7 linked regions of the Xenopus tropicalis genome follow. The protein of the gene in region 6 interacts with the protein of the main gene of each other region in a pairwise test. Links are inferred from orthologs where the notes say so. Each region holds a gene or a part of one and is shown on either strand. Other genes may lie near its edges.

Region 1 (4,291 bases), on a different chromosome or scaffold from region 6:
GGGAAGGTGAAACTGCCCAGCACACAAATAAACACAGCAGCCTCTTCTGCCTGATAAAAGCCAGAGCCCCCTCAGCCCCTGACCCACTGAGCAGGAGAGGAATGCAGCCAAAGCCAATAGTTAACCCTTGCCTGTCACAAATGCTCCTCCCAGGACAATTAAACATCAAGGTAAGGCTGTGAGCTTGAGTGTAGCAGGGGAGATTGAAGAGTTAAGGGGGCGGGGCTTTATTCCCGGAGCAGAGCAGGCACAGCAATCAATTAAATGGCAATGCTGAGAAGCGGGACATCTAACAGTGAATCCGGGACAGCGGGAAGTGCCATAAATATCGGGACAGTCCCCCTGAAAGCTGGGAGGTATGCACCCATGTTATTCAACATAAACATTTACAGGTTGCACCCCCAACTGTCCCTTTGGGCACCCATAAGTTCTCCCAAAATGTCTCACTGTTCAAAGCACACACATTTGGTTGCATTTTACGCTACTTTATTATTATTATTTTCATTCTGGAGTAATCGGTGCAGTTTCCCAACCAATCAACTAGTCATCTCTCGGTAACCCCTGCATCTTGCGCCCTTATAACATATAGCGGTTCCCTCTTAAAATCGTGCTGAAATAGCTGCGACCACTTCTTTTGCGACTACGATCCCTCATCCCGCACTACCATTGCGAATGACCCAGCACAACACAGAGCAAGCACAGCGAACTGCCAACTGTCACATGATCTCCCAGCCTGCTCATGTGACTAAACACTTTCATTATGAAGGAACACTTTCGCTGGGCAGGAATGTGATGACTGGCGATGGATAAGCCAATCAAATAATGAGATAGTGACAATAGGCGTGGCCTTCCTTGGAGGACGGTGTGGGCGCTTTGAAAACCCGGAAGTGTATGGAATTTATTCTTTGCCACTGTACCACGATAGAATCTTGTCGGTACCTGTGCTGAAAAGGTGGGTGAAATGTGAATTGATATACCGGAAGTGCTTCCTATTTCATATTGTACTTGTGCCATTAGTGTTGTTGCTAGTGGCACTCACTGAGTGTGTATTACGGAATGACTAAAGTGAATTCTTAAAGAGAGCAGTTGCATACCTCCCAACCGTCCTGCTTTCAGGGGGACTGTCCCGATATTTATGGCACTTCCCGCTGTCCCGGATTCACTGTTAGATGTCCCGCTTTTTAGCATTGCCATTTAATTGATTGCTGTGCCTGCTCTGCTCTGGGGAATAAAGCCCGCCCCCTTAACTCTTCAATCTCCCCTGCTACACTCAAGCTCACAGCCTTACCTTGATGTTTAATCGTCCTGGGAGGAGCATTTGTGACAGGCAAGGGTTAACTATTGGCTTTGGCTGCATTCCTCTCCTGCTCAGTGGGTCAGGGGCTGAGGGGGCTCTGTCTTTTATCAGGCAGAAGAGGCTGCTGTGTTTATTTGTGTGCTGGGCAGTTTCACCTTCCCACCCCTAACATATATCTCTCACTCCTGGGAATCTCTGGCAGAGCACAGCATGCAGGGGAAGGTATCGCTCATTCATAAAATATAGCAGACATTTTAAAGGGGCCCTTATAAGTCTGAGAACCTTAGGCCTTGTTAATATGGCAAGAAATCATACCGCCCAACTGGCCCGCTTTCCGTGGGACAGTCCCGGTTTTGGTAGCGCATCCCGCTGTCCCGGATAGTTCCATGAATGTCTCGCATTTCCGTAATGCGGGACATTCATGGAACTATCCCTGACAGCGGGATGCGCTGGCTGTAGTCAGGCGTTCTTCTTCTGCAGAGGGTCCTCTCTATATGCGGCTCCTTGTTCGGCGGTGCCAGGCCCTTTTATAAGGTTGCGCCCATGCCCTTATAAAAGGGCCTGGCTCCGCCGAACAAGGAGCCGCATATACAGGTCCTTTTCAAAAAATTAGCATATTGTGATAAAGTTCATTATTTTCTGTAATGTACTGATAAACATTAGACTTTCATATATTTTAGATTCATTACACACAACTGAAGTAGTTCAAGCCTTTTCTTGTTTTAATATTGATGATTGTGGCATACAGCTCATGAAAACCCAAAATTCCTATCTCAAAAAATTAGCATATTTCATCCGCCCAATAAAAGAAAAGTGTTTTTAATACAAAAAAAGTCAACCTTTAAATAATTATGTTCAGTTATGCACTCAGTACTTGGTCGGGAATCCTTTTGCAGAAATGACTGCTTCAATGAAGCGTGGCATGGAGGCAATCAGCCTGTGGCACTGCTCAGGTGTTATGGAGGCCCAGGATGCTTCAATAGCGGCCTTAAGCTCATCCAGAGTGTTGGGTCTTGTGTCTCTCAACTTTCTCTTCACAATATCCCACAGATTCTCTATGGGGTTTAGGTCAGGAGAGTTGGCAGGCCAATTGAGCACAGTAATACCATGGTCAGTAAACCATTTACCAGTGGTTTTGGCACTGTGAGCAGGTGCCAGGTCATGCTGAAAAATGAAATCTTCATCTCCATAAAGCTTTTCAGCAGATGGAAGCATGAAGTGCTCCAAAATCTCCTGATAGCTAGCTGCATTGACCCTGCCCTTGATAAAACACAGTGGACCAACACCAGCAGCTGACATGGCACCCCAGACCATCACTGACTGTGGGTACTTGACACTGGACTTCAGGCATTTTGGCATTTCCCTCTCCCCAGTCTTCCTCCAGACTCTGGCACCTTGATTTCCGAATGACATACTTTGGACCACTGAGCAACAGTCCAGTGCTGCTTCTCTGTAGCCCAGGTCAGGCGCTTCTGCCGCTGTTTCTGGTTCAAAAGTGGCTTGACCTGGGGAATGCAGCACCTGTAGCCCATTTCCTGCACACGCCTGTACACGGTGGCTCTGGATGTTTCTACTCCAGACTCAGTCCACTGCTTCCGCAGGTCCCCCAAGGTCAGGAATCGGTCCTTCTCCACAATCTTCCTCAGGGCCCAGTCACCTCTTCTCGTTGTGCAGCGTTTTCTGCCACACTTTTTCCTTCCCACAGACTTCCCACTGAGGTGCCTTGATACAGCACTCTGGGAACAGCCTATTTGTTCAGAAATTTCTTTTTGTGTCTTACCCTCTTGCTTGAGGGTGTCAATGATGGCCTTCTGGACAGCAGTCAGGTCGGCAGTCTTACCCATGATTGCGGTTTTGAGTAATGAACCAGGCTGGGAGTTTTTAAAAGCCTCAGGAATCTTTTGCAGGTTTTTAGAGTTAATTTGTTGATTCAGATGATTAGGTTAATAGCTCGTTTAGAGAACCTTTTCATGATATGCTAATTTTTTGAGATAGGAATTTTGGGTTTTCATGAGCTGTATGCCACAATCATCAATATTAAAACAAGAAAAGGCTTGAACTACTTCAGTTGTGTGTAATGAATCTAAAATATATGAAAGTCTAATGTTTATCAGTACATTACAGAAAATAATGAACTTTATCACAATATGCTAATTTTTTGAAAAGGACCTGTATATAGGAGCCGCTGCAGAAGAAGAAGCAGCAGCAGCAGCATGTATGGAGGCTCTGTGTATTGGGGGGATACTGTGCATGGGGGCTACTGAGTATAGGGGGCAACTGTGTATGGGGGGGGGCACCTGTGTATGGGGGGGCTACTGTGTATGGGGGGCACCTGTGTATGGGGGGCTACTGTGTATGGGGGCACTGTGTATGGGGGGCAAAGCTGATACATAGTTATAACTCACTTATAACTGACTGCCTTCTCTCTATATTTGTATTTTATATGTAGGAGTTGCTATATTGGTTTTCCTTAGGTAGTACAGTATGAGGGTATAGCACATTTGCGTCTGATCCCGCCATTTCATCTATATAAAAGGAGTATTTTTTTTAAAAATGGGGTGTGGTAATTGGGGCGTGGCCAAAAAAATTTGCCGCGCTGCGCGCACCAAATCTTTTTGTCCCTATTTTCATTTTTCAAATGTTGGGAGGTATGCAGTTGCATTCTGTTAGGTTTATGCAGGGCCCCTAACCAAAATATAGAATAGCTGAAAGTCTTACATTTAGACATATGGGGCAGATTTATCAAAATGTGAGTTTAGAGCTTAATCCAAAAAACTCACCCACGTTCTATTTATTCCTGTGGGATTTTTAGAAGCATATTTATCAAATGGTGAATTCTAACTTTCACCCATTGATAAACACGCTTCTAAAAATCCCATAGGAATGAATAGAACGTGGGTGAGTTTTTATGACTCTACCTATAAAAGGCTCACCCTGAGTAAGGAATGTTTGATGTTCTGCAAGCCAAAACAGTCTCAACAGAGGGGGGGAGGG
Region 2 (4,037 bases), on a different chromosome or scaffold from region 6:
TTGTCTCTATGTGTGTTTTAGCAGAGGCAATTCTCAGTATTGTCTATGGAAGAGTATTTTCTGATGTAGCCATGACAAGTAGCTGCTACTAAGTAGCTGTGTGTGTTTGCCCTTAGGGTGAAGATACATGGAGCTACTAGTAGCAGCTGCTTTTTCATGGCTACTAAATTCCAAAAAATACCCTGCCATAGACAATAGACAATACTGAGAATTGCCTCTGTTAAAAGACATGCTGAGACTGTTATCAGTAAATGATTAGCATTGTCTATTTTAGTAGCCACTACAAGTAGCAGCTACTAGTAGCTCCATGTGTCTTCACCCTTAGGGCTGTGACAGACAGGGAGATTAGTCGCCGCACATCAAATCTCCCTTGTTGCGGGTGACTAATCTACCGAAATGCCATCCCACCGGCTAGATTCTAAATCGGCGGTGGGATGGCATGTGTGGCACCGCGATTTGCGGAGATCGTGGAAGTTGCCTTGAGAGGAAACTTCCGCGACTTCGGCAAATCGCGGCGCTGCGTATGCCATCCCACTGGTGATTTACATTGAAGCCGGTGGGATGGCATTTTACGGAGATTAGTCGCCTGTGAAAAGGAAGATTTGTCATGCGGTGACTAATCTCCCCGTGTGTCTCAGCCCTTAGAAGCCACCCAAAAAACAGTATCAAGTGGGACAGCCAATAATTGGCAGGATATTTACAGCTATGCTTATCATTGGAAAATGGTTCATTTTTGGCAACTATATGAAGCCACAACTAACCTAACTAATCCCCCATCATAAGTACCCCTGCACAAAAGTAACTATACAAACACTAAAGTAGATTTACCACCCTACTCTAAATTTGGCACAATGGGAACAAATAAGTTGAAAAAATTAACAAATAAATACTTTTTAACACTTTATTTGAATTTGTATCATATCTTAATATACACACTAGTATGATTACCTCAGCTATTTAGAGACTCTGAGATACAACATAGAAAACGACACTATATTAAGGCAACAATGACATAAATTGTGATTTATTGTGTCATAACTATGCCCTGCATCACCTCAGACGTAAAATCTACTATTTCTCTCTGATACAACCACTGGTAACCCTCAGACAAATGAGATAAGGAAGAATGAATGGGACACCCCATCCCACAATGTGTCACACATTCCCCAACACGTTTTGCATAACTTGTATTGTAAGGTCGCTTGCCGTGTTTACTCACAGCCCGGTAACACCCACTCGTCCCCATGCTGGCGGAAGCGAGGGGTGAGGTGAGCGCTCCCAGCACACAGGCAATTCAGTCTCACTAAAGACTTCGAGGGAACAGGATGGGGAACCTGAGCTGTGTCCCGCAGCCGCATCGCCACATCAGATACTCTCTTAGCAGGAAGAACTCCTGGCAGCAGGGCAAAGAGTAAGTCTATGGAACCCAGTATGCTTCATACTCTCAAACGCTGTTGTATATAAATATACCTGAAAGAACCCGTTTATAGTGGAACAAGTGGAGAATGTATGTTATTTATGGAATGTGTGTATGTGCTCCTGGGATATTCATTTACTAATACTGCAGTAATTCTGTTTAAGAGAGGGAGGCTGCCTGCAGAAAACTGGGCAATGTATATGATACGGTGTACATTGGACTTTGTGTCCCTTGCATATTTTTAGAAGCGGTGGCCATGTGCTTCATTGCTTTGGAAGGAGCCAAGGGGGGTAATGCTTTGGGCATGTGGTGTTTGCAGTGCTGGCAGCTGCCAGGAGAAATACAGGAGGCTGTTTTAGTGATCAGTTTCATAGGTACCCTGATAATATTATTAGATCTCATTATCTAACTGGTTTTCCAGTGCTGCATATAGAAACTAGGTACATGTTTGAGATTTATTATATGGGATGCTTGGGAGCCGTAGTTTCCTGGAGAAGAGGAAGGGCTGTTTCTATAATGTGGAGCACCGTTCCTTGAGTTTACTATAAAACACAAAACATAGAGGACAATATATATCTATAGGACCAGGGTTGTCTTAATAGGATTGTTTGTAACCAAGATGGATTTACAAGGCGTTGTTTTAGAATTACAGAGAAAAAGGATATCAGACAAAAGTAAGATTGTTAGGTTGAATAGGACTCTGTGGAAAATAACATTCCCATATTTCAGAACTCTCAAGATAATTCACCCTAAACCTGTATGTTTATCAAATAAAGCTTGCAGTTATGTGCCTGAGGCATTGGGGGGTGGGATACTAAATGATCTATACTTGCTCTGTGTCCCAAGGAGTAGAATGTGAGATCTTCCTTGCTTTTATTACAACAGATCTATTAGAAATGTAGTTATAGTGGCCATTTGAGTTGGTCTCATAAAGTTTTCTTTTATTTGTGCTACTGCAGAGTTTGTTTTTGTTGAATATAACATACATACCATGAGACCTGGAAGATGTGATTATTTCCTAAGTGACTTACAGTAAAGGGATCCTGCACAGCATGACCTGATCTGGATGAAAAGGTTACTGGGCATTTTGGTGTTAGGGGAGATAACATATTTACCATGTCAAAAGTTTGTAATTGAGTTTCAGGCACAATGAATAGTGGTTTACAGTTAACACCCTAGGGCAGAAGTCCTTCCCCCACCAAGAGATTGTATAATTAATGTAGAGATGGGGGAATAGTTTTCCTTAATTATATTATATTAATACAATCACAGTTAAGCGAAGTCTACATGTTTCCTTGTTGGCTTGGGTGACTGTGCATGGTTTTTATCAAATGTCCACTTGGGACTGTTTCATTTGCGATATCTATGAGACACAATCTGATGGAGGGATGGGTATTTAGAATAAGGAATTTATGGTGTTAACTATTAGTAGGTTTTTCACAGAAATCAAAAGTTGCTTTTTGCACATGTAGATGTCATCAAATACTGAACTACAGCTCTCCTAGGTCTACGATCATCCTCTTGGTGTCAGTTCTAAACATATAGACTGCTTTAGTGTACACTGCAGATCATTTCAATCAGTTGTAGTGGCCAAGAGACAAAACAACAGAAATGGCCACTAGAGGTGCTAATTCCACAACTGGTTATGAAGAACACCATATGCATTTATGCAACATTTTTGTTACATTTTATGTACTTTTCCTGTACATAAAAAATGATGTCATGGAGCTGTCCCATTTTTCTTTTCATGTTTTTCATTTTTTTGTGTGTGTAGTATTGAGCTTTACATACTAATGTATATAAGACATTTATGTTTTTTGCGTTACTGGTCCTCTGTATTCATCTACCAGTGTCACAGAGGTTCTTATGTTTGGTTGATATAAGCAGCAGCATACAATGAGAAAATTAGTTTCCCTTTATAAATGCATAGTAGAAAGATACATTCTTTGTAGAGATGCTCTTGCTTATATAAATAGTCTTTGCAAACTCTGATCTGAAATGGTTCATTTATTTCTCTTTGCTAATGGCATTTAGTTACAAGGCTCTTTTAATTGACTGTGCCCTACTTTCTGAACATGAGTTTCGTGCTGAGACATAGGTGAGGTTTATCTGTGCAGTATTTAATCAGAAGCATGAGACTGCGCAGAAAGACATGGAATTCTGTCCAGCCAGCAGAATATGGCTTGCCCTGGCAGGCACAGAGCCGGAGAGATTTTGGCGTGCCTACTGCTGCTGTGCAGTTCTGGGTTTAAAGTCTTTATAGCAAGCATTGGGTAAATCACATCTCCTCTCCTGCTCAGTTACTTCTACATAGACTGGCATACAATTCCCTGCATCATAGTGACAATCAAAAATCATTAAATGTAGAAAGGGAATAGCTAAAATTTTGTTCAGGGGCTTCTCTATCTAATAAAGCTCAGATTAGCTCATAAATTCACAAACTGTTGTGCTGCCCCCAGGTAACCCAAGGCATTGGTTGTGGGGGCAGTCTGAAGGCTAGTTAGGGTGAATGCTTATTTGCTGTTTTAGATATTCTTGGAATTTCAGCCTGAAGGCCAAGTAGGGAAACATTGGAGCACTGGATATTCCTAGATGGCCGATAGAATTTTAGTGTTGTGTA
Region 3 (4,050 bases), on a different chromosome or scaffold from region 6:
AGGACAAATAAATCAGTTACTGTTTGTTTCATTAGCAAGAACCTTCTGGTGTCCATTCTTTCCAATTACTTTGAAAACAACATAAGTGAGTTACAGTTATATCCAAGGATATTTCCACTTAGCAAAAGCCCATCTGACGTGTAGGGCCCTATGTACACCATGATCTAAAGCCATTCTAGCCGGCGCTGCCTGTTTTTACAGCCAAATAGGGGTTACACATACATTTATAGTGCAGCTGAGGAACTATACAGAGGCTGACATTTGTGGGCGTGACATTAAGTGGGTGTGGCACAAAACAAAAATTTTGTATTACGTTAACCCCGGATTTCATTTTCAAAATCTGGTCACCTTATCATAATACTTATTCAGGTGTGCGCTCTCTATCTTTCTTTTGCGTCAGGCAAACCGACTTACATCGAAAATAAACAAGCAAGTATATATAAATGACAGTGTCATCTAAGGGGTGGTTACTAAAACATTTATTTTTATTTTAAAGAAACCATGAATAAACTCATTTCCTGTCATTTATAAAAAGATCTGAACTGGAAAAAGTCGCAAAAACCACAGCTTTTTTGACTTTTCGCATAATAACCGCAACTTTTTTGACTTGTTACAAAAATATCAGTGACAAAACCCCCCAAAAACCAGGAAGCAAAGCAAGATCTTTCAGTTGTAAAAGGAACATCTGCCACTGACTTCTGTATATTGAAAGGTTTTAGCAGGAGTGTTTTTCACATTTGGAATTGTCAGTTTTGTCACATAATAAATCTCAGAAACGTTTAGTAAATGCCCACTCAAGTTCCAAAGTTCCCTTGCTCCAATGCTTGGTTAACAAAAAAAAATAAAAACAAGAAACATTCATGATTGCAACATTATTACCCCATTTACACAGGGTTAGTTGTCATCTCTGTGGAGGATAAATAGGAGATGACTTTCATACACAAATATTTCGCATTCAAAATAACCAGAGGAACCTCTAGGGTTAAGTCGCTATGATATTTTTCACGAAGAATAAGCTGATTGCTGCTAAACATTACTGTGCGACTGATCACTACAGTTCAGCATCAGCTTAACCCCTATAACCCCACGGAAAATACGTTTTTGTTTTGCTCCTGTTTTAGCCGACGAAACCCCTCCCATGTGCTTATTATTAACCATAATGGGAGGTACTGGAAACCCCAGGGCGCCCTGACCCGGAAGTGTCGTCATCGGGAGACTCCGCCTTATTGTTATTGTCGTCGCTGTCATCTGTCGGTACCATGAAGTGGATGTTCAAGGAAGACCATTCGCTGGGTGAGAACGGGGAAAGTTCGGGGGGTAGCCCATTACCTTTACTGTACTAATCTGGCAACACTACCTGAAGTTACCTCTGTATACTCTAAAGCGGTCGCTGCTAGCCCACCTTCATCGCCCCCGCCCTATAGGCACAGGCTACACCTCGTAGCGCTGCCCTTCCATCTAGTAGCGACTATTCCCATCCCCCGCAGTTTGTTTGTTGGTACTGACTGTACCCTCCCAGGCTTTGTCCTCTAACCTTATTTTACCATTAGTGTGTTTATCTCTCTGAAAGATAAAAACATATAAACCCTGGCCCTTTTTTTCTCATTAATCAACCGTGATCTCATCAACTTCAGTTTCTCAGTCACATCTATAATAACATTCCCTAGAGCCCATGGAATTGTGCTTTGAGCTCCAAATGCTGCAGTTTTTGTAAAACTCTTGTCATGAGACATCAGATTGTAAATAGGTCCAAGTGGCAGTAATTGCATTGAAATGGTGGTTAGGTCAGTTTGAACAAAAAACAGCAAAATTGCCTCTACACTATTTTATATGGTCACCAAATGGGTGCAGCTATATTCAGTAATGTTTATCAGTATATATCCTATGTGTAATATTTAACAACAAATACCTAACTGCTTACCAAAGGTTATGGTATGTTTGCTCCACCTTGTCACTCATATGCTTGTTTTTGCTTTTAACTTTCCTGACCACACATCCCTTTCTACTCTATATTGTTTTTTTTTACAACCATTGGTACTAAATTACACAACTACTTCCAGCTTTGCTTTACCAGCTCAGCTGTTGGGGGGAATAAAGAAAAATGTATTCTTTTTATTTTACTTGTGGAACACCAAAGAATACCTATAGTGTCCTTGCAAAGGCCTGTCTTAAAAAAACAAAATATGAAAAAGTTTTTCCATAAAGGACTTGAGGATTGGTTTGTTTTTATCTTTGTGCACCATTTGTGTTTAGCATAGCAAGAACCCATACATGTGTTGAGCCTATTATCCAGAATGCTTGTGACTGGGGGTTTTCTGGAAAAGGGGTCTTTCTGTTATTTGGATCTTAATACCTAAAGTCAACTAAAAAATCTTTTAAATATGAAATAAACCCAATATGATATGTTGGGATCAAGCAATCAATCTAAGTGCGGCTCAGTTCTCAAAATAAACTAATAAGTGCTGACCATGAATATTCCATAGCCTGGATGTGTACAACCCTGGGCTAGACATGGGAATCAGATTACCTGATGAAGTGATTGTCCCGTGTATATAAACCCCAGGTCCCAATCTCACAGGCCAGCCGATACAAATTAATTTCAAATAATTTAGGAATAGAGTGCACTCGCAGTTATTTTTGAGTGGCCTGGTTGCATTATTCCCAACCCATAGCTGTAGGGGAAGTGCAAGGATAAGCAGAAACAGCAAGCACACCTGCCACTTGTAAAGAAAAAATCCAATTTTATTTTAACCAATAGAACATCTTTAGTTGGGATCAAGTACAAGGTACTGTTTTATTATCGCAGGGAAAATAGAAATCGTTTTTAAAAAATAAATTATTTGCCTTAAAGGACATGTAAACCCCGCACAAACAGCCTCTTTGAAATCTTTCAATACCTGCCACTCTGGTTGTCCAGAGGTTAATAGTAAGGCTGCAACATCTCCATAAACACTTATATTTCCTTCTCCTCCTGTAATCCACTCAGCCCCCTCCCTCAGGAATTTGCTTTAATTTCTGGCTTGTGGGCATGCTCAGTTGTTCTAAACTCAGATTACTAAACATGCCCTCCAGTCTAGCAACCAGTGAAGAGATGGCATTGCTGGTTCCCATAGAAACTCAGCTCTAGCTGGCTGCTTCAGTTTTTTTCTCCTGAGCTCAGCTTTACCATTACAGTGCTCAAACAAAGCAGAACTTTTATCAGAACCTGTATTCTTGATGAAATGTATGCTGAATAAGGGTCTGTGTCTGCTGTTTGCAGATTTAAATGTAACTCATTATGTATCAGAGGAAAAATGGCCACCGGGTGAAAACTGCTGTTTGCTTTAGGAAAATGTGATGGTGCTGGCAAGTGGAGGGGATACATGCTGTACAAATAATGCCATTTGGGTGGGGGAGACGTGCCCAACTGATGTACATTGTAGGCAAATGTAGGCTTTGCATGTCCTTTAAATAGAGTCTAAAGGAGATTACCGTAATTTGGTACTTTCTAAAGAATGAGTTTGAGGGTAACGGATCCCATAACTTTACTGTAGTTAACACCAATTTACAGTATTTTCCTGTAATATTAATGAACAACACATTAATGTCCCAATCAAGAATGAAACATGTCAGTGTGGAGAGCTGAGTGTCAGTGAACTACCGGTATATGTTCCTGGCTAGAAATAGGTATCTTTGCTGTAAATGTCGCCCACCACATGATCTGCATGTTGATTTCCTGCATACAGAAGGCCCTGAAGCCCGTTCGTAGCCAGCTATAAATAGTACAAAAACAAGTAGCTCATTATATAGATATATTACTCATAAGACATGAATGGGCTGCTGTTGACGGTAAGGAAGTAAACAAAGTGAAAATGATACTGAATACTATAAGCACAAATACTTTTTTTTAAAATAACATTCCTAAATTTTCCTATTTCAGAACACAGGTGTGTGGAGTCCGCAAAAATCAGAGCCAAGTATCCAGATCGGGTTCCGGTAACCTCTTTTATTTTGCTTTTCTTTTTTGAATGATTACCTATTCAGACTGTAATTGTTGTTATGAAAGCTACA
Region 4 (3,500 bases), on a different chromosome or scaffold from region 6:
GGTTATACTGTGTCACACTGGCACTGCCCCCCCAGCATTGTACTAATGGGCCCCACGGGAACAGGGGGTTATACTGTGTCACACTGGCACTGCCCCCCAGCATTGTACTAATGGGCCCCACGGTACAGGGGGTTATACTGTGTCACACTGGCACTGCCCCCCAGCATTGTACTAATGGGCCCCACGGGTACAGGGGGTTATACTGTGTCACACTGGCACTGCCCCCCCCAGCATTGTACTAATGGGCCCCACGGGTACAGGGGGTTATACTGTGTCACACTGGCACTGCCCCCCAGCATTGTACTAATGGGCCCCACGGGTACAGGGGGTTATACTGTGTCACACTGGCACTGCCCCCCCAGCATTGTACTAATGGGCCCCACGGGTACAGGGGTTATACTGTGTCACACTGGCACTGCCCCCCAGCATTGTACTAATGGGCCCCACAGGTACAGGGGTTATACTGTGTCACACTGGCACTGCCCCCAGCATTGTACTAATGGGCCCCACAGGGTACAGGGGGTTATACTGTGTCACACTGGCACTGCCCCCCCAGCATTGTACTAATGGGCCCCACGGGTACAGGGGGTTATACTGTGTCACACTGGCACTGCCCCCCCAGCATTGTACTAATGGGCCCCACAGGTACAGGGGTTATACTGTGTCACACTGGCACTGCCCCCCAGCATTGTACTAATGGGCCCCACAGGTACAGGGGTTATACTGTGTCACACTGGCACTGCCCCCCAGCATTGTACTAATGGGCCCCACGGTACAGGGGGTTATACTGTGTCACACTGGCACTGCCCCCCAGCATTGTACTAATGGGCCCCACGGGTACAGGGGGTTATACTGTGTCACACTGGCACTGCCCCCCAGCATTGTACTAATGGGCCCCACGGGTACAGGGGGTTATACTGTGTCACACTGGCACTGCCCCCCCAGCATTGTACTAATGGGCCCCACGGGTACAGGGGGTTATACTGTGTCACACTGGCACTGCCCCCCAGCATTGTACTAATGGGCCCCACGGGTACAGGGGGTTATACTGTGTCACACTGGCACTGCCCCCCCAGCATTGTACTAATGGGCCCCACGGGTACAGGGGGTTATACTGTGTCACACTGGCACTGCCCCCCCAGCATTGTACTAATGGGCCCCACGGGTACAGGGGGTTATACTGTGTCACACTGGCACTGCCCCCAGCATTGTACTAATGGGCCCCACGGGTACAGGGGGTTATACTGTGTCACACTGGCACTGCCCCCCCAGCATTGTACTAATGGGCCCCACGGGTACAGGGGTTATACTGGTCACACTGGCACTGCCCCCCAGCATGTGTACTAATGGGCCCCACGGTACAGGGGTTATACTGTGTCACACTGGCACTGCCCCCCAGCATTGTACTAATGGGCCCCACGGGTACAGGGGGTTATACTGTGTCACACTGGCACTGCCCCCCCAGCATTGTACTAATGGGCCCCACGGGAACAGGGGGTTATACTATGCCAGCCTGGCACCTTTTAGGGTAGAAGCAAGAGATGGAAAGGGTAAAGACACTCTGCCCATGGGAAGGAATGATACTCAGAAGCTCACAATCTATGAGGAATAGGACCCCCCCCTCCCCATGTTGCAACAGGCACATTTCCCTTCCTGATCCCCTTAGTACAAATAGTAGTGGGGATAGGGCACAGCCACTGTGGCAGTTACTGATGGGGGGGTTCTTTGTTGCCCCAGGAGAGTGAATTTTCAGACGCGGACCTGACTGCGGCCGGGGACACGGAGGATGGAGAGAACGCCCCGGTGTATTGTATCTGCCGAAAGCCGGATATCAACTGCTTCATGATGTGAGAAATACACGTGTGTGATTGGGGGGGGGGTCATTCCATAGCAACATGCACCCCTCATCTAGCCAGGGGGGGCGTTAATGCCACTAACAGCCCATATAATGCCCCTAAGCTGACACCGTGCCCACTGCAGCCTGATCTCTATCCTGGTTTGTCTCTCGGCAGCGGCTGTGACAACTGTAACGAATGGTTCCACGGGCACTGCATCAACATCACCGAGAAGATGGCAAAGGCCATACGAGAGTGGTACTGCGTGCAATGCCGAGGTAAGCACCAAGGGGCATTATGGCAGGGGCGGGGGGTGTGGGAGGCAGTTCCGGTGGGGGTTAGAGGCCGGTAGGGCGGGGGATGTGGGGGGCAGTTCCGGTGGGGGTTAGAGGCCGGTAGGGGCGGGGGATGTGTGGGGGCAGTTCCGGTGGGGGGTTAGAGGCCGGTAGGGGCGGGGGTGTGGGAGGCAGTTCCGGGTGGGGGTTAGAGGCCGTAGGGGCGGGGGATGTGGGGGCAGTTCCGGTGGGGGTTAGAGGCCGGTAGGGGCGGGGATGTGGGGCAGTTCCGGTGGGGGTTAGAGGCCGGTAGGGGCGGGGGATGTGGGGGGCAGTTCCGGTGGGGGTTAGAGGGCTCGGTAGGGGGCGGGGGATGTGGGGGCAGTTCCGGTGGGGGTTAGAGGCCGGTAGGGGCGGGGGATGTGGGGGCAGTTCCGGTGGGGATTAGAGGGCCGGTAGGGGCGGGGGATGTGGGGGGCAGTTCCGGTGGGGGGTTAGAGGCCGGTAAGGTGCGGGGGATGTGGGGGGCAGTTCCGGTGGGGGTTAGAGGCCGGTAGGGGCGGGGGATGTGGGGGGCAGTTCCGGTGGGGGGTTAAGAGGGCCGGTAGGGCGGGGGATGTGGGGGGCAGTTCCGGTGGGGTTAGAGGCCGGTAGGGGCGGGGGATGTGGGGGGCAATTTCCGGTGGGGTTAGAGGCCGGTAGGGGCGGGGGATGTGGGGGCAGTTCCGGTGGGGGTTAGAGGCCGGTAGGGGCGGGGGATGTGGGGGGCAGTTCCGGTGGGGTTAGAGGCCGGTAGGGGCGGGGGATGTGGGGGCAGTTCCGGTGGGGGTTAGAGGCCGGTAGGGGCGGGGGATGTGGGGGGCAGTTCCGGTGGGGGTTAGAGGCCGGTAGGGGCGGGGGATGTGGGGGGCAGTTCCGGTGGGGTTAGAGGCCGGTAGGGGCGGGGGATGTGGGGGGCAGTTCCGGTGGGGGTTAGAGGCCGGTAGGGGCGGGGGATGTGGGGGGCAGTTCCGGTGGGGGTTAGAGGCCGGTAGGGGCGGGGGATGTGGGGGGCAGTTCCGGTGGGGGTTAGAGGCCGGTAGGGGCGGGGGGATGTGGGGGGCAGTTCCGGTGGGGTTAGAGGCCGGTAGGGGCGGGGGATGTGTGGGGCAGTTTCCCGGTGGGGTTAGAGGCCGGTAGGGGCGGGGGATGTGGGGGGCAGTTCCGGTGGGGGTTAGAGGCCGGTAGGGGCGGGGGATGTGGGGGGCAGTTCCGGTGGGGGTTAGAGGCCGGTAGGGGCGGGGGATGTGGGGGGCAGTTCCGGTGGGGGTTAGAGGCAGTAGAAATATATAAAGGTGTGCCTTTTGCCCACGTGCCAGACAAACACCCGCACCTTGAGATCAAATACAGA
Region 5 (2,730 bases), on a different chromosome or scaffold from region 6:
AGTGTGGATCCAGTTTTGGCGGCGAATATGAAAAGTGGTAACCTAACTGAAGGGAACTGTTATTATAAAAAAACTCCTACTGAGAATTGGAACTGACGTGTGACAAGTAAAATTGTGATATTTATGATTGTACTGGTGTGACAAGAGTTAATAAAGTATTTGGGGATAGACAACAGCTCCCTGCACCTTTACTGGAGGAACTGTGACATAGGAAAGGACTCTTGGTGAGAGGAAGGCAAGTTGTTTTATTACTATGCTAACCAACTTGCACTTCTCCCATGCTCTCAGCATATCACGGTGATTACAGTACTGATTAATTGGCCTTCCAACCACTCAGTAAGTATTCTTTCTCTGCTTTGCCAAACCCGGCAAATCCACTACCATTCAGAATAAAATATGAACTAATAACCCTCACAATTAAAGCACTCCATAACTCTGCCCCACTTTACATCTCTGAACTCCTCTCCAGATACTTGCCAAACCATTTGCTATGCTGCTGTAATGACCTGCTCCTGATAACCTCTCTCATTACTTCCTCGCACCCTTGCATTCAATACTTTTGCAAGAGCTGTACCCCTTCTCTGGAATTCTCTACCATATTTTGTTGAATCTCTGTCTCTGAAAGATTTCTTGAAGGACAAGGAAAGGTTAAACAAAAAAAAAAAAAAAAAGTATAGCCATGGCATGTAGATATACTATGAAGGATTTCTCTTTAGGAGTTATTCAGAATGATTATTCACTTTTAAAATAAGTTAAAAGATGCTGTGGAAAGTTTATCTTCTGTACCAGAAATGAGCTGATTCAGGGTACATGCATGCACATTTAATCTCTCAGAAGCTATGGGCAGGTGCAGAAATGTATATTATTTTCCTATTCTATTCAGGGTGTCCTAATGCCTCCTGCTTTTAGAATGTAAGCTCCTTTGGGCAGGGCCCTCTTTACCCTTCATATTTGCTTTTGTATGTTAAATATAAACACCCATTTATTATACAGAATGTGAAGGCATTTTATAACATAACCACTATATTACTGTTACCATACTACTAATGATTCTTATTGGGTACAGAAAAAAATCTTTAAATGTGTGTTTTTTCTTTGTGCAGGAATCGCATGAACTTATCTGCTACACAAGCATTTTACCTTCTTGTGAATAACAAGAGCCTTGCCAGCATGTCACTTACGATGGCTGAGCTTTATAGGGACCATAAGGATGAAGATGGTTTCCTATATATGACATATGCATCTCAAGAGATGTTTGGTTGAATGCATATCACAAAAAAACGAGGACAATCTTTGTACTAAGAGGGGCCCAGATATGTACATGTGTAAATTCTAGACCCTAGTATTATATTATTATTTAAATTTACACCTTAAACATTTTTGGTCATTATTATAACATGGGCTGGAACTTAGAAGTATATGGCTATAGTGTACAATACTTTTTATTGAAATGTTTTCACTTAAAGGAACCTTTTATGTATGTTAAATATTTATTGAGCATCCTTTTAGAAAAGTCAAAAGATAATGCTTTTGTAAATTTATTGTAATAAAGGATTTAAAATATTTTATTTTTACAGAATTTTTTTGCAGATTCTATGTAGTACTAAACACAACTGTTTTCTCTAACTTAGAACAATTTTGTTTTTAGATAGACTTCCCCTTCACATGAAATAGTATTTGGGGTTATTGTGTATAACAGACTTTGCTCTGCACAGTATAAGTCAGTAGCTGCAGAAGCATAAAGTACTCTCTGCATAGAAAGGGCATTGACGGAATGCTTTTGCCTCTATATATTTCTTGTAAGACCTGGGCTTGGGTATGTATTGCAGCTTTGGGTACCACATCAAAATGTATATGTATTAATAACATGCAGCTAAAATTAATGGGCACGTGCTATTAGCAGAGAAGAGTTTGTTTTCTGTGGGGAAGAAGAATTTCTAAGAAGACACTTTTTTTAACACTGAAAAGAAAAAAAGAAGCCATCCCTTCTTTCACCTGAAGCAGTACAAATGGTTATTCACTGTTAGGACAGGGTGGGCTGTAAGGTTCCTAGGTTCTTTCTGGCTGTTTTTTTGTTTTTTTTTTTACTTCTGTATTTCCAATGTGCAATAGTGTATTTGTGTTTATGAAAAAACTCTGGCCAATCAAGAGGTTTTTGTTTTACATATATCACAAGAGGTTACTGCACAAAATCAGTCAGCCTAATGCTAAATAAAATCTCTTCATAAAATAACTACTGCCTTAATTTAACTGTGGAGGGTGTCAAAAATAGTTATTGTTAATTTACTGATTTGCCTATTTACCAATTAATCCAACACCTGGATATACTGCCTGATTATGTATGTATGTATGTGGGATAGCTTGGTTTGTATTGGCTATAAACAGGAACAGATCATAGTTAAATCTGGTTGAAAAAAAAACCCAAGTTCAAATCTTTCCATCGAACCCCAGCGCGCACACCTATACTGACCTATCTATACACTTGCATACATAAACTACAGTATATATACCAACATTAATACTAATTGCACATTTTAGTTTCCCAATAGCCTTGGATATTTTTGTTCAAGAACTCACCCAAGCCCTCCTTAAAAGCATTAAAAGAATCTGCCATCACATCACTAGGAAGGGCATTTCACAACCTCACCGTGAAAAACCACCTACGCTGCTTCAAATGGAAGTTCCGTTCCTCTAATATAAAGGGGTGATCTCTGGTGCACTGGTCCTTTT
Region 6 (3,500 bases):
TTTAGGTTATAGGCTTCAGTGAAAAGGTGAGTTTTAAGAGACCGTTTAAAGGCTTGGAGAGTCTGGCAGTGCCTAATGGGATGGGGAAGAGCGTTCCAGAGAATGGGTGCAGCACATGAGAAGTCCTGGATGCGAGAGTGAGAGGAGGTGATGAGTGAGGAGCAGAGAAGGAGGTCATGTGTGGAGCGAAGGTTGCGTTTGGGGGTGTACTTGGTGATTAGGGTGGTTAAATAGAGTGGTACGGCCAATGAGTGCTTTGAAGGTGAGTACAAGAATCTTGAAATGAATCCTGTACGTGAGAGATAGCCAGTGCAAGGATTGTCAGAGAGGGACAGCACTTGTGGAGCGGTAGGAGAGGTGTATGAGTCTGGCAGCACTGTTCATGATGGATTGGAGTGGGGAACAGTGAGTTGCAGTAGTCTAAGCGAGATATGACAAGGGCGTGGATGAGAATTTTGGCCTCATGAGTGAGGAAAGGTCGAATGCGTGCAATGTTTTTGAGGTTGAACCGAGAGAGAGCAGAGTCAAATGTGACTCCTAGACAGCGAGCTTGTGGAACTGGGGTTATATTAATATTTTTGTCAGGCAGGGAAACGGAGTTGGAGGGTGGGAAGATGACCAGATAAGTTTTGTCCATGTTGATTTTTAGGTGGTGAGAGGACATGAATGCAGAAATTGCGGTTAGACAGTTGGAGACACGAGCTAGGAGCGAGGGCAGGTCTGGGGAAGAAAGGTATATTTGGGTATCTGCATATAAATTATAGTGATCAATATCCATTGATTAAACATTTTAATGGTTTTAAGATGATTTCTAAATGTAATATTTCCAAAATAGCACCTAGAGCAATCATCTAAAAGCGTTAGCACCAGCTCTTCATCCAGCTGCATCAGTGTTTCCCAGCCATCCCCAGGCTTATTCTATCACCTTTAGGAGGTGGAGGTTGATTTGCCCCTATGTATTTGAACACTAAAAAACATAGCAGGCAAAGCCCCTTGTTACTAGAAGTTCTACGGAGTAGTAAAGAATTGTCTATCCTGAGACTGAAGCAGTGTGTTTAAACCAAGTAGGCAGAGAGCAGTTGCCAGGCTTTGTTGAACATGTATAAACAACATTTTAGATGGCATGTAAACAGAGAATGAGGTGCAATGAACAATAACTGGATGCTCTAGATCCCTAACTCTTTGTACTTTAGTTCAGACTATTTTACAGTATTAAACTCCACATTCTGACTCAGGAAAGCACAGGGGCACCAATAAAGATTGTTTTGCAGGAGCCAAGAGTCATCCTTTTCTTAAGCTTTGCAAACAAACCGCAGTTAGCTCAAACCCTCATGGGTCTGGTAGCAGGTTGTGGCTATATAGGAGCTATTTAGCTGGCAACAGCACAGGACTTTAACTAAACAGCTTTTATCATCACAGAATGGTCACCTAACCACTTGCCTGCTCTTTATTCATAACATGAGTACAACTAAAATGTATCTCTAACAGATTAAAGATGCTTCATGACTAAACACTTACAGTAATATATGTTTGTGAAAACATTATTTAGTTTTTTAATAATGTGTTTGAAAGAAATCTAATGGATGGCTTTTGTGTTTCTCCTCCAGTGAGTCCGTTTACTTCTGATTCTTTACCTGAATTTGACATTAGAGAGCAAGTGCGGGAAATGAGCTTAGAAATGGCTGAAAAAACAGAAAAATATCGCAAGTGTAAGCAAATGCTGGCTGTAAGTGTAATATTATTTGCTAAAACAATACCTTTTTTATATTCTGAGATTAACTGGCCCCCTGCATTGTTCACGCCACACATTCAGGCTTTAATCCCCTGTATTGTTCACACCTGCAATTCCCTTTATTATTCACACCTGTACCACTCTGTATTGTTCACACCTATGAGCCCATGAATTGTACTCACCTGTAAGACCTCAGACTGTAGGCTCCCACATTGTTCACACTTCATACAAACTGTAGGAGCAGTGGTGGTATTGTGTCACCATATGAACTTCAGTACAAACTGTTGATGTTGGAGTGATCATGATTAATTACTTACATAAACATGATAGGTTTCCCGGTCTCCTTCCATACTCTGCCTGCCCTGCTCTACCCTGCCTGTTTCATACTTTACCTGCCCTATGTATGCCATACTCTGCCAGCCCTACCCAGCCTGTGTGTGCCATACTCTGCCTGCCCAATGCTGCCTGTGTGTGCCATACTCTGCCTGCCCTATGCTGCCTGTGTGCCATACTCTGCCTGTCCTACACTGCCTGTGTGTGCCATACTCTGCCTGCCCTACGCTGCCTGTGTGTGCCATACTCTGCCTGCCCTACGCTGCCTGTGTGCCATATTCTTCCTGCCCTACGCTGCCTGTGTGTGCCATACTCTGCCTGCCCTACCCTGCCTGTGTGTGCCATACTCTGCCTGCCCTATGCTGCCTGTGTGTGCCTTACTCTGCCTGCCCTACGCTGCTTGTGTGCCATACTCTGCCTGCCCTACCCTGCCTGTGTGTGCCATACTCTGCCTGCCCTACCCTGCCTATGTGTGCCATACTCTGCCTGCCCTACCCTGCCTGTGTGTGCCATACTCTGCCTGCCCTACCCTGCCTGTGTGTGCCATACTCTGCCTGCCCTACCCTGCCTGTGTGTGCCATACTCTGCCTGCCCTACCCTGCCTGTGTGTGCCATACTCTGCCTGCCCTACCCTACCTGTGTGTGCCATACTCTGCCTGCCCTACCCTTCCTGTGTGTGCCCTACCCTGCCTGCCCTACCCTGCCTGTGTGTGCCATACTCTGCCTGCCCTACCCTGCCTGTGTGTGCCATACTCTGCCTGCCCTATGCTGCCTGTGTGTGCCTTACTCTGCCTGCCCTACGCTGCCTGTGTGCCATACTCTGCCTGCCCTACCCTACCTGTGTGTGCCATACTCTGCCTGCCCTACCCTACCTGTGTGTGCCTTACTCTGCCGGCCCTACGCTGCCTGTGTGCCATACTCTGCCTGCCCTACGCTGCCTGTGTGTGCCATACTCTACCTGCCCTACCCTGCCTGTGTGTGCCATACTCTGCCTGCCCTATGCTGCCTGTGTGTGCCATACTCTGCCTGCCCTACCCTGCCTGCCCTACCCTGCCTGTGTGTGCCATACTCTGCCTGCCCTACCCTGCCTGCCCTACCCTGCCTGTGTGTGCCATACTCTGCCTGCCCTACCCTGCCTGTGTGTGCCATACTCTGTCTGCCCTACGCTGCCTCTGTGTGCCATACCCTGCCTGCCCTACCCTGCCTGTGTGTGCCATACTCTGCTTTGAATAACATATTTTTCTATTCAGATCCATTCCTATTCAGATTACAGTCTCTCATTCAAACCACTGCATGAGTGCTAAAATTAATTGCAGTGCAATTGTCTATCTCACTCTACATCGTAATAAAAGTTAGAGGGGCTGTTCACCTTTGAGTTAACTTTCATTATGATTTAGAGAATAATATTCTAAGACAATATGCAATTGGTCTTCAT
Region 7 (4,244 bases), on a different chromosome or scaffold from region 6:
CAAGATTGCATAACAGAAAAAAATTAGTTTTCACACAAACAGAAATTTTGACAACTGCAAAATTTGGGAAAACTGGAGATAAATATTAATATACCAATTAAAATTCAATTTGGCTTATAATCAGACTCATCTAATCAATTTGACTTGGGATTTGGGAGATGATGGAAAACAATATTTAATCAGCCTAAAGGAAACACAGAGAATCCAATAGTCTTTATAGTCTGCATATGTTTGTGTTGTATTGCTTACCTACCAAGGTTACCAAAATCCTTCAATGATATTCTGGCCTCTGAGTAACTATTTGAACTTTTCAGGTCAGTCACTCAGAGGCCATCATTAAAGAATGCTAGACTTCATGCTTAAAGATTTTGTGGTGTACTTTTTATTTCTAAATTACACTGTTTAGCAAATAATTCACTCTGCCATTTAAAATTTTATTCTTGGATCAACATGTATTTTTTTTAGTTGTAATTCTGGTGTGTAGGCGCCATCTCAGTGCATAGTGTCTCAGTCTGAGCTTTCAGAAGGAGCCAGCGCTACGCATTAGAACTGCTTTCAGGTAACCTATTGTTTCTCATACTCCCATGTAACTGGAGGGGGCCCAACCCGGACTTGGATTTCTTACTATTGAGTGCTATTCTGATACCAACTGGGAGCTGCTATCTTGCTCCCTTCCCATTGTTCTGCTGATCAGCTGCTGGGAGGGGGGTGATATCACTCCAACTTGCAGCTCATTAAGAATATGGCTAGCTCATGGGTGACCAGACCTTTTCCGTCTGTGATCGACGATGACCGGGGAATGCGGAAGTGCAGCGTGAATGCGTACTGCTGCCTCCAGGCATGCCCAGAAGGCTCTCCAGGTCAACTACAGGTAGTCGAATTGAAGAGAGAACTGAACAGGAAGTGGGGGCGGGGCTTTACTCTGCACAAGGAAGCAAAGAAAAACTATCAACTTCTAACTGAGGAACCAGGTCAGAAAGAATGCTGGGACAAAGGTAGGTAATTCTGGAGGCTGTTTAGAGTAATTTTACTGATAGAAAAAAAAGGTTTACTTATTCTTTAACCTAAAGTTATGAACAAAGTAGCACTCTAATTTGCTCAGCAGAAATAATCAAAGATAAAAAGACAAAATACTATTCTTTACCCATAACAAGTTCAAAATAGGCAGAACATTTTTGGTTCTAGACTAGAACAATAAAATCAAAAGCACTGTAAAACTTCAAGTCTCAAGTATGAGATTCTCAAGAATGTCACTCTGAATAGGCAGAAACATTGGGAAGACCTTGAGAATCATTAGAGAACAACCCCCTCTGCAATGAAAAAGTTAAACAAGTATTATGACATTCTTTCATAAAGTCATCCATATAATAATTTATTTGATGCAATCTCCTCTTTTTGCTGCTAAAATGGGCGAGGAATTCCTCTTTGTTAAAACTGCAAATTGTTTTTGCACCTTATCAAATGTATATTTATGAAGCTATTCTGAAGGAGAAGGAAGCTCAACACCCCAAGCAGTGAAGCGATATGGAGTGGCTGATATTTGTCCATGCACAGGTGTGCAGCAGCATTAAATTGGGCACAGTTCCACAATGACAATCTGTGATTCTGGCAAATGCCAGAGGGGCTGCTGTAAGATACCATAGACCAGGAGTCCCCAGCCTTTTTTAAAAGTGAGCCACATTCAAATATAAAAAGAGTAGGGGAGCAACACAAGCACTATGGCTATTTGGTAGTCTCTATGTGGACTGGCAACCTACAGGAGGCTCTGTTTTTTTATGCAATCCAAATTTGACTTCAATCCAAAAATATGCACCTGCTTTGATGCCACTGGAAGCAACAGGGAAGGGGATGGGGAGCAACATGCTGTATGTGAGCCTCTGGGGATCACTGATATAGACAGGCACTATTTATTGGGGGTTGTGTAGGGGGGCTGTTTGGGCCTCTGTGTATTTAAAAAGCCAGGGCCTGGTTTAAATCCCAGTCCAAGTCTGATTAGACAATGTTTCCAGTGCAGTACTAAACTCTACTACAAATGTACTTTGTTACTGGATTACTGCTCTTCAGTAGCAGAGTTCTTGTTAATTCAAGAGTGCCATGCACAAATACCATCAGCCTGAAGCCTGGCATGGTTGATGATAGATTGGTAAATATAGGTTGTAAGTGCTGGATTTACTTGGATGGGTTGGACTTGATGGACTCTGGTGTTTTTTCAACCCTATGTAACTATGGTACTATAGTTGCCGACTGGCCTACTTAGTGATCCATTTGCCACTAAATCCTTTATAAAGCGCTGGAATGGAAGGCAAATGACACGTCCGATGTTCCTTAGCGAGGCACATACACAAGGAGTTACACAATCCCTGCCTTACACGGTCAGAGCGGTGCGCACACAAGCAGGACGGAGCCGGAGCTGGTTACCAAGGTATAAACGTATTCTATAATACGTCCGAATTCCTAATATTTATATATATATATTCACTCGCTCAGTGACTAATAGAGCCCGCCCCTAGAATATACCCACCCAAACCATATACTTCCTAATAATAATAAGCAGAGGGACTCGGTTATAGAGTAAGTCCCAGCAGGGCCCCAAATCACTGGTATCAGTGACATCATAACGCCTTGCAGCAGCAGCAGCTCCGCCAGGTCGCAGTCTCAATCCCAAGGTGCATCCTGATCAGGACAAACAGCCCTAGCAAGCGCAAAGCACAGTGAAGTTGCCGCTGAGCTCCGGAGGGGCCATTACTTGCCTTTATTATTCATTGCCCCGGGTTCACGTCTCTTGCTCGATCTGTATTTTCTCTGTGTTGTTGTGGGAGATGATTCCACTTCCGCTTCTATCTACTTCCTTGTTGTGTTTTTTCACTCTACGCAGATACGAAAGCGCATTCCTGCTGAGCAGCGCCCCCTACCTGCACTTTCATTTTGCGCGGCTTTATTGCAGGCTGCAGCTTTTGGCTTGCCTAAACACGCATTTTGCTTTTCATAGACCCAAGGAATGGTACAACTTATGGTTATAATTAGCCCATTAGGTAACATAGTAGCTGCTTTACTGGAAATGAGTAAAATTTTCTTGCTTTTGTATCAACAGATTTTTACCATTTTGTATTAACACTGGTCTAGGATATCAATTTAGCTCTTTCCCTGTTGTCCAGGTTATGGGCTGTTTGTAAAAAAATTGCATTGTTGGGGAATGCATTTTTCTTGTAAACGTAGGTGCTATGTCATTGGTTGGCTGACACGTTTCTTTTCAGGTAAAGGGAAAGGCTTATGTCCCACGGAGTGGTTTAGTCGCCCACAATAGATCTGTGTTATCGCGGGTGACTGCCCTCTACGAAATGCCTATCCACCAGCCACGCCGGTAGAAAGCCATTGCTTGCATTGCTTCAGTTTTCATAAGTCACACAAAGATGCCTGCTGGAGGAAACTTTGTATGACTTTGGAATACCAAAGCCATGTGAAGGGCTTTTCACAAGCAACTCCTATTGTTGCCAGTGGAAATGCATTTTGGAACAGTTAGTTGCCTGCGATAGCAGAGATCTATTGCAGGTGACTAAACCGCTCAGTGGAACATCAGCCTTAGTCACTAGAGTCAATATATTAATATTACATGCATGCAGTATATAATGGAATTGGTATACATTGGGTAATGTAATAAAGGATGCAAAGTTCATCTGGGTCAATTAACCCATAGCAACCAGTCGGATTCTTGATTTTATATAGCTGACCAGTAAATTCTATCTGCTGATTGGTTGCAGTGGGTCACTAACCTAAAGCAAATTTCGCACCTTTTATTATATTGACCCCTTAACACCCAGATACTGACCCTCACTACTCTATGCTACTATTGGACCTGACAGGAACTGTAGCCCATGCAGTGCTAGAACCTAACTCACAACTCTCCTGTAATTTCTGTGTGTTTCCTTCTTATCATCACCTTTGCAAATAACCCCAATGCACTGGCCTTATTGGCTGGGACTTCTCTCCCCCAGCTGAAAAATTTTTACGTAACAAAGGTGTCTAGGAGCAGCACCTGCTGTAAAAATTGTGAATTTTTTTAAGGTTATTATTTTTCACCTTCACCTACTTAATTTATATTGAGAAAAAATACCCCTTATTGTAAAGGGATATTATAAGTCACTGAAGAGTTTCAATACTATGTAAAGGCACAATATTGCAAGAGCATCTTCCCTTTTGAATCAGTTTTGACTAACAGGAGGAGTCAGAAGTCAGGGGAAGATGGT

What was found.
Region 1: the proteins of tax1bp1 (region 6) and lgals8 interact in binary tests that used the Homo sapiens proteins (3 or more experiments, as listed by UniProt). The link is inferred for Xenopus tropicalis from reciprocal best matches to the Homo sapiens genes TAX1BP1 and LGALS8.
Region 2: the proteins of tax1bp1 (region 6) and plekhn1 interact in binary tests that used the Homo sapiens proteins (3 or more experiments, as listed by UniProt). The two-hybrid records come from large-scale screens. The link is inferred for Xenopus tropicalis from reciprocal best matches to the Homo sapiens genes TAX1BP1 and PLEKHN1.
Region 3: the proteins of tax1bp1 (region 6) and gabarapl2 interact in binary tests that used the Homo sapiens proteins (3 or more experiments, as listed by UniProt). The link is inferred for Xenopus tropicalis from reciprocal best matches to the Homo sapiens genes TAX1BP1 and GABARAPL2.
Region 4: the proteins of tax1bp1 (region 6) and cxxc1 interact in binary tests that used the Homo sapiens proteins (3 or more experiments, as listed by UniProt). The two-hybrid records come from large-scale screens. The link is inferred for Xenopus tropicalis from reciprocal best matches to the Homo sapiens genes TAX1BP1 and CXXC1.
Region 5: the proteins of tax1bp1 (region 6) and map1lc3c interact in binary tests that used the Homo sapiens proteins (3 or more experiments, as listed by UniProt). The link is inferred for Xenopus tropicalis from reciprocal best matches to the Homo sapiens genes TAX1BP1 and MAP1LC3C.
Region 7: the proteins of tax1bp1 (region 6) and dazap2 interact in binary tests that used the Homo sapiens proteins (3 or more experiments, as listed by UniProt). The two-hybrid records come from large-scale screens. The link is inferred for Xenopus tropicalis from reciprocal best matches to the Homo sapiens genes TAX1BP1 and DAZAP2.

What each region holds. Positions count from the first base shown.
Region 1 is NC_030681.2:41,520,835-41,525,125, reverse strand, and holds the start of lgals8 (galectin-8), read left to right. Parts: upstream 1-1,491; 5' UTR 1,492-1,507; coding exon 1,508-1,519; intron 1,520-4,291.
Region 2 is NC_030683.2:88,900,561-88,904,597, reverse strand, and holds the start of plekhn1 (pleckstrin homology domain-containing family N member 1), read left to right. Parts: upstream 1-1,237; 5' UTR 1,238-1,325; coding exon 1,326-1,411; intron 1,412-4,037. UniProt on the Homo sapiens protein: Controls the stability of the leptin mRNA harboring an AU-rich element (ARE) in its 3' UTR, in cooperation with the RNA stabilizer ELAVL1.
Region 3 is NC_030680.2:64,266,742-64,270,791, forward strand, and holds the start of gabarapl2 (gamma-aminobutyric acid receptor-associated protein-like 2), read left to right. Parts: upstream 1-1,250; 5' UTR 1,251-1,259; coding exon 1,260-1,293; intron 1,294-3,919; coding exon 3,920-3,975; intron 3,976-4,050. UniProt on the Homo sapiens protein: Ubiquitin-like modifier involved in intra-Golgi traffic. Modulates intra-Golgi transport through coupling between NSF activity and SNAREs activation. It first stimulates the ATPase activity of NSF which in turn stimulates the association with GOSR1.
Region 4 is NC_030684.2:1,159,330-1,162,829, forward strand, and holds part of cxxc1 (CXXC-type zinc finger protein 1), read left to right. Parts: intron 1-1,737; coding exon 1,738-1,847; intron 1,848-2,012; coding exon 2,013-2,113; intron 2,114-3,468; coding exon 3,469-3,500. UniProt on the Homo sapiens protein: Transcriptional activator that exhibits a unique DNA binding specificity for CpG unmethylated motifs with a preference for CpGG.
Region 5 is NC_030681.2:57,421,675-57,424,404, reverse strand, and holds the end of map1lc3c (microtubule-associated proteins 1A/1B light chain 3C), read left to right. Parts: intron 1-1,103; coding exon 1,104-1,263; 3' UTR 1,264-2,230; downstream 2,231-2,730.
Region 6 is NC_030682.2:42,559,769-42,563,268, forward strand, and holds part of tax1bp1 (tax1-binding protein 1 homolog), read left to right. Parts: intron 1-1,607; coding exon 1,608-1,726; intron 1,727-3,500.
Region 7 is NC_030678.2:142,300,601-142,304,844, reverse strand, and holds the start of dazap2 (DAZ-associated protein 2), read right to left. Parts: upstream 2,801-4,244; 5' UTR 2,764-2,800; coding exon 2,751-2,763; intron 1-2,750. UniProt on the Homo sapiens protein: In unstressed cells, promotes SIAH1-mediated polyubiquitination and degradation of the serine/threonine-protein kinase HIPK2, probably by acting as a loading factor that potentiates complex formation between HIPK2 and ubiquitin ligase SIAH1.